Bombyx mori: one gene and its partner. The protein of the gene in region 1 purifies or fractionates together with the protein of each later gene. This does not show direct contact. Links are inferred from orthologs where the notes say so. Each region holds a gene or a part of one and is shown in the gene's direction. Other genes may lie near its edges. The genes, in order: kinesin-like protein KIF13B and disks large 1 tumor suppressor protein.

Evidence for each region.
Region 2: the proteins of kinesin-like protein KIF13B (region 1) and disks large 1 tumor suppressor protein purify together in Drosophila melanogaster (affinity purification with western blotting; 3 studies listed by BioGRID). This does not show direct contact. The link is inferred for Bombyx mori from reciprocal best matches to the Drosophila melanogaster genes Khc-73 and dlg1.

Annotation. Positions count from the first base shown.
Region 1 is NC_085111.1:15,114,324-15,118,157, reverse strand, and holds part of kinesin-like protein KIF13B, read left to right. Parts: coding exon 1-91; intron 92-755; coding exon 756-870; intron 871-1,377; coding exon 1,378-1,479; intron 1,480-2,417; coding exon 2,418-2,523; intron 2,524-3,053; coding exon 3,054-3,245; intron 3,246-3,834.
Region 2 is NC_085118.1:7,804,395-7,807,713, reverse strand, and holds part of disks large 1 tumor suppressor protein, read left to right. Parts: intron 1-951; coding exon of another isoform or gene 952-974; exon of another isoform or gene 975-2,573; intron 2,574-2,629; coding exon 2,630-2,736; 3' UTR 2,737-3,319. UniProt on the Drosophila melanogaster protein: During embryonic development, some isoforms are essential for proper neuronal differentiation and organization. Required for cell polarity; maintenance of apicobasal polarity.

The DNA of each region.
Region 1 (3,834 bases):
CAGTGCGCGTGAAGCCCGCACAGAACTCGGGGACGCTGCCGATCATATGTCAGCACATTGTCAGCGTCGAGGTGGGCTCGGTCACGGTCAGGTACGTGAAGTTCTCGTCTGCATCGAAGGATGTCCATATTTTTTTTTCATTACAAATCATAAACTTGCAATGTTTCAATTTTTCTTATTTTGATGTGGGTCGTAATACTTAGTATCCTTCCATTATCAACTTCTACTTTTCACATCATTTAAGTATTGGTAAGAGTCATAGTGGGTTTGTATCTCCACCTTGAAATTTAACATCTTGAGGAGAGCAGGTGTCCTCATATGACCCACCTCAACAATACCAAACTAGTTAAAAAAAAATTGTAATAATTTCAAAGCCAAACCGTAATTTTCTAAATCTTATAACCTCACAATTTTATAATGAGCATTTAATATAAATATAAATATTTTACTAACAATCACGCCACGTTAACTGGTTCCGTAATAAGTTCGTAAAGAACTTGTGTTACAGGTACCAGATATCGGAAATAAATGTAAGATTTTTATTATACACATACATATATTTAATATACATCCATAACCCTGGAAAATATATTTATATTTATCATACAAATATCTTCCCTTGGCGGGATTCGAACCCGCGACCTAGTGTAGTGACCATGTCACTTACCACTACACCAGACGGACGTTAATATTGCACGCTACTATTGTACATGGCGGTTATATGTCTATACGAGTTTTTTTGAAACTGTCCACAGATCCCGCTTACAAAAACCTTTGGATTCATATCAGGAAGAGGACCTGGCCACGCTGCGGGAACGTTGGAGCGACGCTCTGGCCCGGCGCAGACAACACTTGCACGCACAGCTACAGGTCACCTGGAATACTATACTGTGTTGATGAATGGCTTTAGTTTATTTTTGACTAACGTACGTGAGTCACGGAGCTCACCTGTTGATGAACAGGTATTCAAGTCTACATAAGCAAGTGCCGATTTCGTCTTGAGATATTTTAATTAAATCGGAACCACTGCTAGTTGTGTTGTTTAAACCAAGACCCACGGCTCCTCTTCGGGGTGGAACATGCAGGACGCGGTATTCCAGTGGGGACCCTCACAGGGCACCTTTTTTGACCGTGACGGGGCAACACAAAGTCACCGTCGCCCGAAACACGTCTTGTCAGATCACCCGGATTCACTTTCGGTCACCGTCCTCGTCAAACTCGACGATTAGAGTTCGGCCCAGTTCGTTCGTAGTTGGAATAGCCTCTTAAACTACCAGCGTATACGTCGGGGAAAAAACACCACCCGGGACAAATTCGTTCAGTAGAGGTTGTAATGTAAACTGTGATCTTGTTTAATTCTCGAATTTTCTGCTACAGAAATTGGTAAACATGTCGCCTTCGATGAAGAGTGAACGCGACATGGAACGCGAACAGTCTCTAGTCGAGCAGTGGGTGTCGCTCACCGAAGAGCGGAATGCAGTAAGTTAATTGTTTTATTATAATCCCAACCTAAGATTAAAGAATTTTTGCCAAAACTATTATGTCAACGACTTTAAGATGAATAGTAGTCCTAAGTAAGGGACGAGCTCACCGCATGGTGTTTAACTCCTTGACTGCCATGCCGGTCACCGGTGCCCCACGCGGCGCACTGAAGTAATTATATCGATTTCTGTTACTAAGCGCCTAATTGCCTAACTTTACCTTCGTTTGTTTTTAATGTATGTTTTAGAAATAGATTCATTCTTAGTATCTTCGGATTCGCCTTTCTCAGAGCCTACTAGATATTCCGGCGTCTCAGTAACGTAAATCGACATAATTCAGTGCGCCACGTAGGGCACCGGTGACCTATACGGCACTAAAAGGGTTAAGCGTTAGCGTTCCCAGACACAACTCGCACGCTGACCTCTAGAGACTACATTCAGTGGAAGGTATGATTGCTCTGCGATATAAAGTGGTGCAGTCGACCCATCCCATATCTATTTTTTATCAGGGTTCGGTATATACACCACACTGGTCTTAACTCATCTATATATTAATACTTGAAGCAAAAACTTTGTAGTCTCTCTTTACGAAAATTGCGCGGACGGAGGAGTATGAAATTTCCCATACTTATAGAGAATATAGAGAGTGCAGAATGCAATTTTTTTTTAATTATGCGTCAAAATACATTAATTCAATAAAAAAGTAATAATAGTTTTATAGTAAAATAGTTTTTGACAATAGAATCATAATAATGTTCAAACTTATATTTTAATTAATTATAGTCCAATTTTGACTACCGGGGGGCCACTAGTATTCATAATTTCACAAACGACTCACAAAATGAATTCTCGGTACCAAAAAAAATTTAGTTTTTTTGCTATCAAACATTTTTATTCTCGAATATTTACAAAATATTAATTGATTGTTTTATTCAGGTTCTAGTCCCGAGTCCTGGCAGCCCCATCCCGGGCGCTCCGGCCGCCTGGACGCCTCCGCCCGGCATGGAGCAACACATCCCCGTGCTGTTCCTTGATCTCAACGGTATGCTTCACTGCAAATCAGTACATGTTAATTACAAAAAAAAAAATTGGAAATTTTTAATTACATTTTGGACACACAAGATTGGCGCCGGAGTAAAACGACAGTATACTACTACCACCATAGTGACAATATAACACTAGTAAAATATAACCGCGTTTCGCCGTGGCCGTTCATTTTTAGGTTTTTTGTGCGAAAAACTTACTGGAAGTGCTAAGACCAACTACTCCAAGTTTAGAGCCAGTCAGCAAAGAAATAACTAGAAAATATTTTTTATAAGCTAAGTACGAAAGTTCGTGCAAAACAAACGCGGGTGTGGCTTGAATTGATAAATTCTATATTAGGCGACGGTTTGCACTAAATGTCGAAATGTACCTTTTTTTTATTGCCCTTGTAGGCAGATGAGCATACAGCCCACCTGATGGTCAGTGGTTACCATCGCCCATGGACTTCAGCAATGCCAGGGACAGAGCCAAGCCGCTGCCTACCGTAAATCTATCTAGTAACTAATATTGAGCCCACACAACCGGCAGCTGACGACCTGACCACGCACCCGAGCGGCGAGGAGGTGAGCATGGCGGGGCTGAACTCCATCCTCCCCAAGGAGCTCGGCCACAAGTTCTACGAGCTGCAGATCCTGCACCACCACGACAAGGACGTCTCCGCCATCGCGTCCTGGGACTCCTCCATACACGACTCGCAGTACCTCAACAGGGTCACTGAAGGTTAGGGCATGTATAATGAAATAAAAAGGAAATATTTAAAATATAACCTTTTTAGCTCTTCATACTTTATACAGTTTGTAAGCAATTGTACTTGAAATTTATTCAAAGAGCCATTTTTTAACATATATTTTTATAGGCATGTGTTTCAATAATGTTTACCCGTCTCTTACAAGGCAAGATAATATGTAATATTCCATGCTCGGACTAAACACTTCAATCAGCTCAATTGTACGCCTTCCAGTAGAAGACAACAAAAATACGAAAATAAAAACGTAAAAACTTGTATTTTGGCATTCTAAAATTGTTCTCAAAATTTTCATATAATGGGATGGTCGCAAGTTTTAGCGTCATTTATTAAAGTCATTAAGTATTTTTTTTACATATTTTGCAAATATCTCGTTTTCTATGGGTTGTATTTGTATTTGTATTTATGTATGTACGCTATTTGTATTTATTATCAATATTGTAGAGAAATAAATACTCTACAATTTTTCTATTTTTGTTATACCTTGAACTGTTTCGAGATAGAGGGCCTAGAGCGCGCGGTCAGACAATTATCTGAAGTCAACTGGTAGTCCAGATCAAAAAT
Region 2 (3,319 bases), on another chromosome or scaffold:
CCTCAGTGAAATATCTGCTATAGTTGAGAATGAACATGTTGAATCTATATATGTGTTAGGAGATTTTAATGCCCATCCTGGCAAATTATTTGGAAATGAAATGTTAAGTTTTTGTGCGGAGCAGAATTGGCTATGTGCGGACATTGAGAGACTAGGTATTGACTCTCAATCATATACTTACACTAGCGTTGCGCATGGTACCTGTTCGTGGCTCGACCATTGTTTAACTAGTGTGGCCGCGTGGCGGACAGTAGTAAACGTAAAAATACATTATGATGTTTTCTGGTCAGATCATTTTCCATTGGAGGTCGAATGTAATCTTGAAAGAGTTAGATCCATGACTATTCCGCCTAATATTAGTAATGTAAATAAAATTATATGGGGTGAACGCACAGGAGATCAAATTGATATGTATTTTAAATATTGTAATGATAAATTGAAATTAATAGATTTTCCTCTAGAATTGAACAAATGTTGTGATAAAATGTGTACTAATGTGAATCATCAATCTGTTATAAATAATTTTTATATGTGTATTATTAATGTTTTAACTGAAGCCTCTATTAACTGTTATGATAATTTTAGTAATAAGTGTGAAATAACCCATAGGGGTATTCGACCATTGATTGGGTGGAACAAGCACGTCCGCAGTGCTCACCGGGTGGCTAGACAAACTTTTCTTTGCTGGGTGTGGAACGGGAAACCTCGGAAAGGAACTGTGTATAGGGATATGGTGGAATCGAGAAAAATATTCAAAAAACAGCTTAAATTTTGTCAAAACCATCAGGAACAAATAAAAATGAATATTCTTGCCACAAAACACGAACAAAAAGACTTCCGAGGTTTCTGGAAACAAACAAGGAGATTGAGTCCAAAAGCTGGTATCCCGGTGAGCATTGATGGCGAGTGTGAGCCTGTGAGGATTGCTAATCTGTTTAGAAACCATTTCAGGGTACAATCACCCGGTCAGTTAAGTAGAGGTGCTGATGCTGGGGTGGTGGACCCGAGTCGACCCTCGCATGTACCACCTCGGATAACAACGAAGGAAATAACTAAAATTATAATGAATATGACTAAGGGTAAGTCTCCCGGTCATGACCACCTCAGCATTGAGCACTTTCAACACGCCGGTCCGCATTTACCTAGATTGCTAGCGCTCTTATATACCTTCTGTATCAGACATTCGTATCTGCCCGGGGCGTTAATGAGAACGGTCGTTGTCCCGATTTTAAAAAATAAAACAGGCGACGTATCGGATCGTAACAACTATCGGCCGATCTCCCTGGCAACCATAACTGCTAAGGTACTCGATGCAGTGCTCGAGCGGCAGGTGAGTGATCATCTTACATTAAGTGATGCTCAGTTCGGTTTTAGACCGATGTTATCTACCGAGTGTGCAATCCTGTCGCTAAAGCATGTGGTGGGATACTACACGGAGAGGAATACGCCTGTTTATGCAGTGTTTCTCGATCTTTCGAAGGCTTTCGACCTAGTCAGGTACGACTTGTTGTGGGGTAAGTTGAGGCAGACGGGCGTACCGGGACCTTACGTGGACTTGTTCTCCCATTGGTACGAGTATCAGACCAATCAGGTAAGATGGTCAAACACACTTTCGGAGGAGTACAGGTTGGAATGCGGGGTGAGGCAGGGGGGCTTAACCTCACCGGCGCTTTTCAACCTGTATATTAATGAGTTGATCGAGGCACTCGGTGAGGCACGTGTCGGCTGCTCGATTGATGGTCACTGTGTGAACAGCATCAGTTACGCTGACGACATGGTGCTGTTGAGCCCATCGATCGGTGCTCTCCGGCGGTTGTTGTCCATCTGTGAGAGGTACGCGGAATCTCACGGGCTCCGCTATAATGTTAAAAAAAGTGAACTGCTCGTCTTTAAGGCAGCAAAGACAAAACCGAGTTATGTGCCACCAGTGACGCTCGGAGGTACTCCACTGAAGAGGGTTACTGAGTTCAAATACCTTGGCCATATTGTAACTGAGCACCTTAAAGATGATGCAGATATTGAAAGGGAACGGAGAGCGTTGGCTGTCCGCTGCAGTATGCTGGCCCGCAGGTTCTACCGTTGTACCGCACAGGTTAAGGTAACCTTGTTCAAGGCGTTTTGCCAGTCCTTATATACCTGTACCCTGTGGGTTCGATATGCGCGGCGGGCATACAATGCTCTCCGAGTGCAATATAATAATGCTTTCAGGATGTTGTTGGGGCTCCCGCGGTACTGTAGCGCATCAGGTATGTTTGCGGATGCTCACGTGGATGATTTTTCATCAATCATCCGCAAACGAACGGCCTCACTGATGCGTGGGGTTCGTGCGAGTACTAATAATATCCTGATGGTTATAGGTAATAAACCCGAATGTGCTGTTTTGAGACACTGGGTTCATATACATACCCATATACCAGGTGCCTCAAAGCAGCGCAGATTTATGAATTAAATGTTTAAATGTTTTAATTGCTAATTTTAATTTTAATTTTAATTTTACTAACCATAGTTCTAAGTATTATTCAACTTACAACATATGGACTTGAGAGGGTCTGAATTAAATGAATTTTATTTTATTTATTTATTTTTTTTATTTTATTTGATATGTTATTCCGGTGCGTGTGATTCACAGCCGTGGTGACGGGCGACACGCCGGAAGAGATATACTCGAAGGTGAAGGCGGTGATCGCGGCGGAGAGCGGCCCGTCCGTGTGGGTGCCGCGCCGCGAGCCCCTGTGAGCCCCCGTGAGCCCCGACCGACCGCCCGGTACACTTTACTACTTATCATAGTGCCTCGAGTATCACTCGCCATTGTTAGCACGCAATGTGCGACTCCCTTGTTGTTTGTGCGTCCCTAGTGGTGTTGCCGGCGCTCTGCGAGTCGCAGTCGTCGGCCGCGTTTTATAATTAATGACAACAGCTAGTTCACATTAGTCGTTAGAAACAAGCGCCATGGAAACGCGCATATTAAGAACCGAAAGGTCCGAATTACGTAATAGTACGCGCGTAGACGCACGCACCTCGGTAAGCGCGTTTTATTGCTTTTAGCTACAGCTCGTACACATTAGGCGTCTCGGAACACGAGTTTTATGAGCACGGTTTAATTTACACACGCGAAGTGCTTTTCCGAACTTTGAAAATGAACTGATCTGATTTATTGTTTATCGAAATAAAAAACAAACGCTACAAGCCGTTTAATGTCAGGCGATTCCTCCTTAGTAAGGATTTTTTTTGTAATATTGATTGAAGCACCAAAATTCTCTTGTCTCTGTTTCTATCGTCTTTAATAGTAACAGCAGAGAAGCCTCTCGAAAGAAATCAG